Linked DNA regions of Callithrix jacchus. The main gene of each other region encodes a partner of the protein of the gene in region 3 in a complex. Links are inferred from orthologs where the notes say so. Each region holds a gene or a part of one and is shown on either strand. Other genes may lie near its edges.

What was found. The genes of interacting proteins can lie anywhere in the genome.
Region 1: CNOT9 (region 3) and CNOT7 share a complex: the UniProt entries of both Homo sapiens proteins name them as parts of the CCR4-NOT complex. The link is inferred for Callithrix jacchus from reciprocal best matches to the Homo sapiens genes CNOT9 and CNOT7.
Region 2: CNOT9 (region 3) and CNOT8 share a complex: the UniProt entries of both Homo sapiens proteins name them as parts of the CCR4-NOT complex. The link is inferred for Callithrix jacchus from reciprocal best matches to the Homo sapiens genes CNOT9 and CNOT8.

The regions. Positions count from the first base shown.
Region 1 is NC_133514.1:24,436,734-24,440,533, reverse strand, and holds part of CNOT7 (CCR4-NOT transcription complex subunit 7), read right to left. Parts: intron 1,084-3,800; coding exon 922-1,083; intron 1-921. UniProt on the Homo sapiens protein: Has 3'-5' poly(A) exoribonuclease activity for synthetic poly(A) RNA substrate. Its function seems to be partially redundant with that of CNOT8.
Region 2 is NC_133503.1:54,076,007-54,080,493, reverse strand, and holds the start of CNOT8 (CCR4-NOT transcription complex subunit 8), read right to left. Parts: upstream 3,101-4,487; 5' UTR 2,986-3,100; intron 1-2,985. UniProt on the Homo sapiens protein: Has 3'-5' poly(A) exoribonuclease activity for synthetic poly(A) RNA substrate. Its function seems to be partially redundant with that of CNOT7.
Region 3 is NC_133507.1:140,310,488-140,315,002, reverse strand, and holds the start of CNOT9 (CCR4-NOT transcription complex subunit 9), read right to left. Parts: upstream 3,035-4,515; 5' UTR 2,894-3,034; coding exon 2,870-2,893; intron 1-2,869. UniProt on the Homo sapiens protein: Component of the CCR4-NOT complex which is one of the major cellular mRNA deadenylases and is linked to various cellular processes including bulk mRNA degradation, miRNA-mediated repression, translational repression during translational initiation and general transcription regulation.

The DNA.
Region 1 (3,800 bases), on a different chromosome or scaffold from region 3:
GAGTATTAACACCTATGTAACACAATGCTTTTTCAAAACCTAACAAAAGCCAAATAAAATCATTCTGAAGGTTACTTTAAATCCCTGGATCGTCAGTTTAGTTTACTTAGATAGGTAAACTCTCATACATGGAAGTCTATTTTCACAAAATAGGAACTAGTTTCCTTACCAGAAACACTCTTAAATAATCTAGTTTTACAATAATAAAGAATTAAAATCTACCACTTATTGATAATTGACTGTTTATAAAGTAATTTACTGACTATTAAAGCAAGTCTTCGAGATATTTCTTCTAAGGGATACCTTATCACATTATTTTTAAAAAATTAAATTCCATCTACACACACACCCCTAGCATTTTCTTGCTGTTTCATTTTAGATAGTACTTAGCACTATCTAACAAACCACAATATGAACTCCATTTTTAAAAAACTGTCCACCCCCATCAGGATATAAACTCCATGTGGACAAGAATTTTCATCTGTTTTAGTCACAGCTTAATTCCTAGCATTTCATCACAGTGCCTGCCATATTGTAAATACTCAATAGATTTTTGTAAATGTAAATTAATGGTTTCCCTTGTAGAACATTAAAAACTAAGGTGCAGAAATAGTAAAAGAAAACCCTGGGCAACATCAATTCCAAACGGCATTGCTGGCTTTAAACTAGGCCTTTCACTTTCTAGGGAACGTGTACTCTTTCTACTACGCAACATGCTTCTCACAGGCAAAAATGGATCCCATATTTTAAATTAACCTTTAAGCAGACTAACATTAGCCTCCTAAGAATTAGGTGACAACTCTATATGGCAGTCAACTCTTTCTAGAATTAAGCCTGAAATTGCTAACATAGTGACCGAAGTAAGTGTGATGCAAGTATGAGATGGAAACACAAATGGCATTTTCAATGCAGTCGTTTTACCTATGAAATGACAACCATTTGACCCCTTCACAGAGGACCACTCCTGAAGTCATGAGAAGTTCTGCGAAGTACTGGGTCTCAATTCCTTCTTCCTCATGTTTTTTAAACTGGATACCAGATGTTGTTAGCAGCTCTATAGAGTCCTGGGCATACATGTCCTCCCTGGCAGAAGAAAGAGAAAGATTCAAATATGCCATTACTTCAAACAAGCTGTTCTTCTGCTTACACCTGTAACTACAGTGCCAATAAGGAGAGAGAGGATTGGCTTGATTCCAACTGTTTGAAGGCTTTAACCTTTGTGCAAGAAAAATGCAATTTAAATGCAAGAGTCATTGTTTCTGAAAAGTGTTTCAAACAGTAAAAAATCATTCAAAGAGTTCAATGGTGCAATTTTAATCCTTACTATTAACTCAATTTCATTAGCCTTTCATACTTAAATACATTTAACTGGGTTTGGAAAAAGGGTCTTCTACTCACCAGGGGCTACCACCACAGAGTGACAGACAACTTTTTTCAGACTCTCTGTCTCAGCAGTCATTGTAATGCTGCTAGGTGGAGCTGCAGCCATAGCTGTGGGGGATATGCCCACCTCCTATGGTCTTGGCAGCATAAGGAAGGAGACCCAGTGGAAAACATCTCATGTGGTTGAGGTAAAACTACACTTCATCCTTAAGAAGAAGGAGATGCCTTTCATAAATGATAAGCCTTGCAAATGGCTCCAATAAGCAACACTGCTTAAAGTTAAGGACTATGCTGTAATAGCAATAATTTCTTCTGTCAACAATCATATTCCTAAAAGACTGCCTTATAAAATCAAGCCAGGAAATCTAAATATAAACCAATTCTTCAAGATTTCACTTAAGCCAAAAAGAAAGCCATCTCTAATTTCCAACCACAAATTTATGTGTATCTGAAATATTTAAAAAGTTATTAAAATACACATGTATTTTTGAGAATAAATGAAAAAGTATTTTGTGAATCTGCCATTGAACTTTTTATTTACTTTTTAAATTGTAAGAATAATGGTTTCTACCTTTTGGCAAAAGGAATTGCTATTAAACACTTTAAACAAAACTAAACCAAGGGTATATTTCACTTGGGCCAAAAAGCATTCTTATGGTTTGTCCTCTGGAAATCATTTTTAAATGTCTGAAAAATTACAAAGCTAATAATGGAATTATTTTAAAATAGAGGCAAACTACAATAATCACTTAAAAGTTAAGTCTCCCCTGGAAAATCCTTTAGGAAAGGTAACAGAATAAACCCAATGAAGTTGTTTAGTATTTTTTGTTTTTTCCCCAGTTAAACCACAGCTTTCCTAGGCTAAAAATACGTACTCAAAAAATTAGTATCTCAGTCATCAGGTCCCAATGCTCACAATGAGGTATGCTTTAGCAACTATAAGCAACCAAAGGCACAAAAAACAGATTCTTCCCCAGGCTTACATCGCTTTTGGCCATTTGCGAAGGTATAGGTGAACAAGTAGTTTCAGATCTTTTAAATTTCCAATAACACTTTTCACCTGTTTACTTGTAGCACATGGCTTCACCCTATACTTGCTTTACAAAGAAATATCAGATCATCAACATTCCTGTTTTTTTATATCAACCCATCTATCTGAAGATCTTTTTCCTTTAGACTCCGAAGACAGCCTGCCTCATCGCCAAAGCTAATTGCTGCCAATGCCTTAGATGCTTTTCCATGCCATTCCTCAAAGTATTTGTCAAGTGCCTATCTTTATCCTAACACCCGGCAACTCAACTCTTGAACACTCAAGTATGTCTGTGTATTATCTATAAAACAAAATAAAAACCACCCTTCTGTTGAATTCACTTTCCCTTCTTGAGACAGGGTGTGGCTGTCATCCAGGAAGCACTGGCTTGAACACCACTCACTACAGCCTTGACCACCTGGGCTTAAGCAATCCTCCTGTTGCAGCCTGTCAAGTAGCTGTGACTACAGATATGCACCACCATACCTGGCTAATTTTTGTATTTTTGTAGAGATGAGGCTTTGCCATGTTGTCCAGGCTGGTCCTGAACTACTGAGCTCAAGCGACCTGCCTGCCTTGGCTGCCAATTGGCCTTGCAAAGTGCTGGGATTACAGGCGTGAACTACTGCACCCAGCCTCCCTTCTTATGGAACTATCTCCTTTTCACTACCACTTTCCTTAACTGAAGCATCAGCTTCCTTTCTGTTACCAGTGAACTGAAGATGCCCTGTCATTACTACTGCCCTATTAAAATGATTCAAATATCAAGAATCACTGCAATCACCAAAAGAGATGATTTTTTACAAATGTGTTCTAATCCTCTCTGACTTATCAGTGACAATATTTCCACAGACTGCTTTTCCTCTTCACAGCTCAATACTCCACTTCAATTTTCATGGGTATATCAACTCCAAATTCAGTTTGGAGAGAATTCTCATACATTGATTGGTATTAACAACTGTAATTCTTAGACTCTGGCAACAGAGGAAACAGAAGAGTTACAAAATAGTGAGTTATAAAGACCATGACCAACTTTCCTCAATACTGTATCTCTAGTGTCTAGCACTGTATCTGACACTCATTCTACCCACTCCATTAGGAAGTCAATCTTAACTTTCTTCAAAATTTCCAAGATTCTGTTCATGGCGTTCTCTCTGTATTAAGCACTACTGGTTTATCTGCTAAATGACCTTTCCACCTAATGTTTTTCACTGTTTCCTTCTCCTTAAACATCTCCTAACATCGGTGTAAATCAAGCTTGTCCAACCTGCAACCCGTGGGCCACATGTGGCCCAGCATGGCTTTGAATATAGCCGAATACGAATTAGTGGACTTTCTTAAAACATTTCGAGTTTTTTTCTTTTTTGCAATTTGTTTTTCTTTTCTT
Region 2 (4,487 bases), on a different chromosome or scaffold from region 3:
TGCCAGCAACCTTTGAAGATTCCATTTATTCAAAGTATCCTACACTCTACAGATTCTTCTCTGTAATTATAGTAATTAAACTTAGGTAGACTATGTGGTATCCAAAAACAGTGGAAACTTCTTAAAGCCAGAATACATTTCTTCTCTTGTTTTTGTTCTATTAAAGGCTTCCAAAAGAACAACAAAGATCAGGAAAACAGAGAAGTTCAGAATGAATGTGCTGTAAATTCCACTATCTGACCATAACTCAGAAAATGCTGGGACTCCGAATTTTAGATTCCTAATCTTAAGATTTCTCCCCTGCAAAAGGCTGTAAAACCATTTCCTATACCCATATAATGTTAACTCGGTGACACTTCCTTATTTCCCTAACTGAAATAATATCCTTCCTTTTTGGTGTTATTTCAAACACAACCATGAACTACTTTGGAGGAAGTGGGTGTATCACTCCTGGGGTTTTGAGAGATGTTTCCATAAAAGCAAAAGCAACAACAAAAAAAAACCCACACAACCAAAATGATTCTATTTTATTCTCTCATAAATAGAATTGGATTTTAAAAAGCTAACCACTGTTATACATATGTGGCATATATATGGGGACTGCAAAAGCCAGACGACTAGCAAAAATACGTAACCCATTTTTGCTCCAAAGTTAGCTAGGATCTGTGGGGAAGTAAACAATAGCTTTCGAGCCCCTGAATGTGGTGTCACTCAAAAATTAAAGAGGAATCGCACTATGTACATTTAATTTAACAAGTCAAATTACTGTATATGGTGGCCAAAGGAAAAGAAAAAAAAGAGGCCAGCATGGTGGCTCACACCTGTAATACCAGCACTTTGGGAGGCCAACGTGGGTGAATTACAAGGTCAGGAGTTCAAGACCAGCCTAGCCAACATGGTGAAGCCCAGTCTCTACTAAAAATACAAAAAATTACCTGGGCGTAGTGGCGGGCACCTGTAATCCCAGTTACTCAGGAGGCTGAGGCCGGAGAATCCCTTGAACCTGGGAGGCAGAGGCTGCAGTGAGCTTAGATGGCGCCACTGCACTCCAGCCGGGGCAACAGAGTGAGACTCTGTCTCAAAAACAAAAAAAGATAAAATAGCAACTTAAATAATACCAACGGGATGAGGGCAATGTCTCATGCCTGTAATCCCAGCACTTTGAGAGGCTGAGGCTAGGGGATCACTTGAGCCCAGGAGTTCGGGACAAGCCTGGGCAACAAAGTGAGACCCCATCTCTACAGAAAGTACAAAAGCTTAGCCAGGCATGGTGGTGTGTGCCCGTAGTCCCAGCTACTCAGGAGACTGAGCTGGGAGGATCACTTGAGCCCCAGGAAGTCGAGGCTGCAGCAGTGAGCTGTTATTAGGCCACTGCATTCCAGCAGCAGCAACTGAACACCACCATGTCTCAAAAAAAACCATCATAACAGCAATTCTGTCTGCCACTCTCCACTTTGTAAGCACATGCTCCAAAAGGAGCCTAAGATAAGAAATCACAAACACACCGTTCCCTTGGTTTGTCTTCCACCTTTTAAGCCTCCTCAGTGCAAGTATCTCACAGAGCATCACAACTGTATGCCTTTCAAATATGCTTATTTGCACAACACAGCTCCTAAAGATAACCTAACTACTTTATCTGGGGTACAACCAAAGCAACAGTATTAAGTTTCAAACTGAAGGAAAAACCGTCCAAGATGTAGTCAGAAACACGATGCTAATCTCAAATTTGCACCTTCCTAAGGAATGTTTAAGGATTTTTATCACATACAATGTTTGCCTCACAGGCTGACTTAAAAAGTCGATTCCCACATGAGCCACACAGGAAACTGTGCAAGAGGGAAAGGTTTTCACAAATACACACACACCCCTATGAATTACTGAAATCCGTGCCCTGTGCTGACCTGCAGTGCAATATGTTCAGATCGCTCCCGTTGACCTACAGTGTAAACTTTCTCCAAAACATATAGCTCCTTATTTACACACGAAAGCTTTGAAGGGCAACTAATGATAACGCCACCGGAAAGTTTTCTCTGCAAGTAATCAAGGTCTTGCTCGGGAAAAGAAATGTTGAGTCTGATTTTGTTTGTTTAAGCCCAAGTGTACAAGGAAACAGTAAACATCACTTCCCTATTCTAGAGGACTGAACAAAGATTTTGCCGTCTGTAGATGAGACAGAAAAGTAAGTGGCACGTTTGAAGAAATTACAGCGCTTAAGAGGGTCCTCTCCAAACTAGGCTGCCACCATCCTCCGACTCTCCCCTACCCCAAACACTGTCTCAAGGCACTGCCCTGAACTGAACCGCAGTTCAAACTTCTTAAAAGTACCCTAATGGTACTTTTAAGTTGGCTCCTCCACTCATAAAGCAATAGAACGGCAAGAAAAAGTTGCGGGACCGCAAGAACTAAGGAGGAGGCGGCGAGTTAGAAGGGGGAGGCCAGCAGGGTTCCAAATTCAGGTCCTCTCCGCGACTCAGTCTCCCATCATCATTCTCTTCCCGTTTATCACCACCTTTCTACTTCAAACCACACTCAGTCCTCCTCCTTCTGACACTCCATTTTTCTTTGTTTTGCTTGGTAAAGCAATGTTAAAATTATGGGCCTTAGGACTAAAAGAACTAAGTTCGAAGCCAGGCCAGGCAAGGCCACGTAGTAGTTGTATGTTCTTGCATAAGCCACTTAACCTATTTCGTGCCTCAGTTTTCCTATCTCGTAAAGTGGGTTTGATAATAGTATGCACCGCGGAGAACTGGAATACAAGTTAAAATGAAGCATATGAGGTGCTTTGTAAAGTCCGCGAACATATCACTCGAATATTATCGTGAGGCGGTAGCCATTATTATTACTACTCTTTGCTGGACTTCCTCTCCTCCTCACACACCCTGTCCCTTACACATGCCCCCCACTCCCCGTCCCCCTACAGACCCCCGATGGTCTCTCACTCTTTCATCTCACGCTCCACTTTCCAGTAAGCGTAGGCCCGCTTACCGTGACTGGCAGGGCACGCGAAGCGCTGGCTGGCTGGCGAACTGGCGGGCCGAATCCCCGACGGCGGCGGCGGCGGTCCCTGACCCAAAGCTCTCCTCTCCTCTACCCCGGATCCGCTCCTAGAACCGAACGAACCAGTGAGATGGGCGCCCCCGTGCCCAGAGCGGCCTTACGTACCTTCCACCAAACAACGGGACGTCACCACTCTACCCAGTCGATCCGCCCGACTCGCCTGCTCTCTAGAGTCACTGCAAACGCGCGCGCGCCTAGTCATGCCCGCTCCTCCCCCTTTGCGCGCCCCTGAGACTCCGTGCGTGTTCGCTCTGCCAGTGAGCTCGCGGGAAGCAGCGCGCAGCCGCAGAACCAACAGGACACCGAATAGGTGGGGCGCGGCGGCCTCGAAGCACGCTTGCGGAAGACCGCCCTCCCGCGGCTCTCTTCGCGAGATTCGTTGCGCCCGCTCAATTTAACCAAGATCCCTACTCCTCCATTTTGGTCCTCTTTCCGCGGGAACAAGGAAGGGGCGTGGTCTAGAACTAGGCCCCCACCGTGGGCGCGGCCTGGAAAAATCCAAAGGCTGAGGAAATGGCAATGCCCTTCCGAACAAACCCCCCGAATTGCGACGCCCCCCTCCTCCTGGCTTTGAAGGACCGCTAAAATCGTTGGCAGGAAGGGATTTGTGGCGAGGCTGACCGGGAAAGAGGCTGTCCTGGCTTTCGGTTCGAATGGGGCCCCCTAGATTCCTCACTTACAAAGCATCTATATATCTTACGATTCCTTTCTGGCAGTTAGGGGTGGGGCGGCTCCCCAAAGCCGAGTTTGGGTGACGTCCGCCAAGGCCCGCCTCCCTCCCGGCCTTACCGAGCCGGCGAGGAGCGTTGCCATAACAACCGGCCCGCCAGGGCCTGCTGAAGTTACAAAGAGGATGGCGCCTCCCGTGGACACAGCGCCTAGCCAGCGAAGGCGTAACCCGGCTCCAAAACCTTTGCGGACGCGCCAGGGGTTTGCCGGATTTTAGTGTGGAGACCCACGGGCTCAGGCCTCGCCCAGGAGCTACTGAGGCCCCTCTGCCAGCCACTTGGTTCCCCTTTAATCCTGCTTGAAGAGAGGGCTCTTGGCTGGCGCCCGGCCTGTGCAACCTGTGACCAGATGGGACGCGCCGCTGCCTCGTGTTCTCTGCGGTGGGACGGAAGACAAAGCGCCGGCTTCCTGTACACAGCGTCCGCGGCGGGCCGCCCTCAGCCACTCTAGCCAGCGCTCCGCCCTTGTTCCCGAGAGGACGTGGGGGCGGCCCTAATCAGAGTTCTAGTCCTTTTCCCAGATGCTTGTATTTGAGGGGCTGTTTGAAAGCGAACAGCAAATGTACCCCTAGTGAACGAGAGAGAGGTTCCTACTATTATTCACTTTGCACTTTTAAACATTTCCCCCTCAGGGGATTCTCCAAAATCCTCCTTCCTGTTCCTAGGCTGAAAGCCAACTGGCCGTGAGCGGCAATTTCAAAC
Region 3 (4,515 bases):
TTAAAATAAAACACATTGACATTTATCTATAAATTGTAAAGAAAATTATTTCCTTCTCTGAGTAAATTAAAAAATTGACGTGGATGGTTTCTTAAACAGAAAAGAGCCAAATTACCAATGTAACTTTATGTTTAAGGGCTAAAACAGCTGTTTGTTTTATTACCAATAAATAGAAAATGGACTCAGACTGAAATAAGGATTATTTTCCCAAGTCTGGATATCAACACGTGGCTTTGGGTGTCAGCATGGTATTCCAAAATAATGAACTTTCTAATAGTGCTGGAAGTACTAAATTAGCTTACTTACCCTTATAACTTTATAAGAGCCAGAAGGTATTGTTTCAAAATGACTTTTTAAAAATGGAAGTGAATATGCAAAGATAAGTTAGGCAATTTGCCTAAAGCTTCATCAGGAGACTCGGGAGGAGACAGTGAATTAGATCCTTTAGAGTGCAGTGTTCTTTCTGTCTACTTGCCAAAGACGAAGGCATCTGGGAGTCTATGACAGCTTCAATAAAATACATAAAATGACTAATGATGCTGCTGATTAGGTGGAAAGTGAGAGAACAAGTGTTTAGGGATGCTAGAATTGCCAGTGGGAAATTAAAAACAAAACAAAACAAAAACACATCTCCTAAAGGCTTACCTCTGGTGGTTTCGCAAGTATAACATCCATTACAGCATCAAAGATTTATAGTTTTTTTTTTCTTTGAGACAGGGTCTCACTATGTTGCCTAGGCTGAAGTGCGGTAGCACGATCATGGCTCACTGCAGCCTGGAAAATTTTTAAAAATTTTTGTAGAGACAGGTTCCCACGGTGTTGCCAAGGCTGGTCTTGAACTCCTGGCCTCAAGTGATCTTTCTGCCTTGGCCTCCCAGAGTGCTGGGATTATAGGTGTGAGCCTATAATTTGGGAATTAAATCCCCAAAGCTGAAGTCTGGGAAGAAGTCACTTATCAGTGAGTGAATCTAGCCAGCTACTGAGCATTTTGTTATTTATTTATTTTTTGAAGACAGAGTCTTGTTTTTGTCGCCCAGGCTGGAGTGCAATGGCACAATTTCAGCTCACTGCAACTTCCACCTCCTGGGTTTCAGCGATTCTCCTGCCGCAGCCTCCTGAGTAGCTGGGATTGTAGGTGCCCGCTACCATGCCTAGCTAATTTTTGTATTTTTAGTAGAGATGGGGTTTCACCATGTTGGCCAGGCTGGTCTCAAACTCCTGACCTCAGGTGATCCACCTGCCTCGGCTGCTGTTCCCCTAACAGCAGCAAACTCATCTTTCAACTTACTTTTCCTCACATTACATATATAATTTGGAAGAAGGAACAAAAAAGCGAGGGAAATTGCAATCTCCTAATTGAGGTATAAAACATAACTTTCCACATTGAATAGTTACAAACACTTAGGAACAGTGTGACAGGAGGCAGAGATACCAACAGCACTGGAAATGATGATGGAGATCAAATCTCAAAAAGCAGTTTTCTATAGCTTAGTCACACTTGGCTCAATTTTTCACTTTTTGTACTTAAAAGGTATGGCAATTTTTTGGTGCTTTATTTAGTAATTATGTCATTTTGCCTGATAATACAATTTCAGTACATTACTTTCCTTAAATCATTTCCCTTTGGTGAAACAGAAAAAGCAGAATTGGTCTTTAGGCATGTGTGCTCAAATCAAATGATCTTTCCCCATTATGGCTATGTTCTTCCAGTGGTCACCTTCCCTTCAATATTCTTTCATGCAGCAAAGTGAGTCTTTACTTTGTACTAGGAACTGTTCTGACACTGGGGAAACCATGTCAACAGGACCCACATGATCCCTGTCCCTGCCCTCAAGGAGACAGAAAACAAATGAACAAATACAATAATTACACAGGGATCGGGAGCTGTAAAGGGTACTCTATTAAAGTTAGTGGCTGTGGAACTAATTTGAAGAGGGTAGTCAAGGAGGGCTACTCTGGGACAGATTTAGACAGAGGCCCGAGGAAAGATGGATTTGGATAAACAGTATGTTTATGGAGAGTTCAAGGAAGAGGTACCAATTACACTCATGCTGTGTGTGTAAAGGAGGCAGGATAAAAACTTTCGTTCCAGGCATAGAGACCATAAAGTGTATCTTGGAGAGGAAAAGTGTGTTGTAGAGGGTTAGGTGGCCAGTGTAGCTGAAACTTCAGGAGCCAGACAAGAAACGGGATTGTAAACGTGGGTTAAGGACCACATCAGGGCCTTGTAGGCCATGGCAAGGAGTCTAGCTTTTATCTCAATGCCAAGAGAAGCTGTAGGATTACTTCAGACAGCTGAATTACACGATCTGTCTTTCTTGTTAAAAGATCACGCGGGTAAAACGAGACGTGTCGAGGAAAGTTTTAAACCCAGAGAACTTAAGTCAGATGCAAAAATTATGCACTTCTTCGGGCCTCAGGTTTTCCATAAGTAAAGCCTTGAACTAGAAGCCATTTCCTTCCCACTGCGATGTGGTGAGTTCTGAGCATGGGCCGCGTCAGACTGACCATGGAATTCCCCTCATCGATGCCGGCGCCCATCTACGCCGGCGCCCAGAACACAACTGGCGCCCTGAAACTGTTGGTCACCGCAATGAATCAATGAATGCTCTGCTATGGACGCGGGACCAGGCCCCGGCGCCAGAAAAGAACGCGATGGGTCGCGCGGGAGGCCGCGAGAGGCTTCCGACGAGGACGTAGGGGCCGGCTCCAACACAACCAAGGCGCGCCGAGCAGGGGAACCCGGGCCTCGCAGGTTGAGGGAAGAAAAAAATCGGACTAGGGCCCGACACCGGGAACTAGGAGAGAAGGCCGAAAAGTGGGGCGGAGGAAGGGTTCTGGTTCCAGGCCTGGGGGCCCAGCCACTCACCGCAGCCGTCGCCAGGCTGTGCATGTTGGGAGCGGCCGCCGCTCTCCTTTCGCAGCCGGACGCGCCCGACCCGCGTCCCAGCTTCAGCACCCCTGCCGCCGAAAATAATGAGCCGCTGTAGCAGCCATCCGCCTCTAGCTCGCTCCGCCCCCTTCGCAGCCCTCTGACCTATCACCTCTGACCCCACCCACACATCCTCTTCCCGCCCCCTGGCCCTCGGCCTAGTTAACAGTCCCGGAGTCTGTCCTTTGCCTCTTAAGATTTAGGACCCGAAAAACGTCCGCGACCAACTAGTTCCCGCAACTCCTAGCTTTAAGCAGATATTTCCAGAGAGCGGCGTGAACTCTGACCCTTCTCCAGAGGCCAGTGAACGGCGGGAAAAAATGGACCGTCCCGTGAGGAAAACAATTGCGCATGCCCAACTGGGCAGAGTAAGAGGGAAACGATGGGAGGGTCGAAATCGGGTGAAGCAGGAAGTGCGCCTGCGTACTACAGTCAGGGCTGGGGCGGGGCTGACCGGGTTAGGCCGCACTAGGTGCTGTTGGGGGCGGGGCGAGGGCGTATGAGGGGCGGAGTTTTCGCTGGCGCGCACGCGCCTGTGTGGTCGCGTCAAGTCTGCGTGCGTGCGTGCGTGTTTGCGTGTGGTCGCAGTTCCCGCCATCAGCCGCTCGCTCTGACTAGGGGTAGGTAGCGGCCTCCCTCCTTTGGGTTTGTTATCCCTACTTTCATTACCCCTGGCTCCTCTCGCTCTGCGCCGCTGCGTGCTTTCCGCAGGTCTGTCCGGGGGCTCTGGACCCTCAGCGCAGGTAAGGAGGGTCGGGGTAGCTTCTCAATTGAGCCGTTTTCCCTAGCGCCCAGTCCCTCTGTGCGATCCGCCCACTCGGTGTTCACTCTTTTGGAGTTCGCCCAGCTGCTACTCAGGCCGCCCACAACCCCTGGACGCACCCTCAGCCTCACAGGTACTCCCTTTGGGTTCACTGCCCCGGCTTTCCCCTCTCTGACTTGGTCTCCACTGCCAGTCGCTCCTTCCGAAACTCGAACCTGGCCCCTTTCCTCTGGGGCTGTTGTCGTCAGCCACTTTGCCTCTTAACAAGGCCTGTCTCTTCTGGTGACTGTGACTTTGGTTGCCGCACATCCACCAGGCCTTGGACATGATACTCATTTACCCTCTTGACCATGTTCACCTTCCTCTTGACCAGTCCTCACTGCAAAACATGAGTTGTATTTTTCTTGTGCATTTCCTTGCGCCCATTTCTAGCTATCACATCAGGTTGTTTGATTTCGTTCTTCTAAGTCATGATCTGTAAAAGAAATGATTGATGACAAAGTCCTGTGTCCAGGAGAATTGTCCTGAATTGGTTTTGGGGTAGTCCTCTCAAAATTTCAGCTCTGTGTAAATTCCTTTGTTGAGGTGGCAATTCCCGACAAGTCTCTGACTGGAAGAGACATCTGAGAGGGAATGTCAAGTAGGCAGTTGGATATAGTGGGTGAGCTCTTAGGAGAGTTCTGAGCTGGATACGTAAATGTGTGTGTGGGTGTATATGTCATCTGCCATGTTAATGTTAATTGAAGCCACGGATGTGGATGAAATAGCCTAAAAAGAGTATAGTGATGTAAAATAAAGGCAACTGGGATGGAGCATTGAG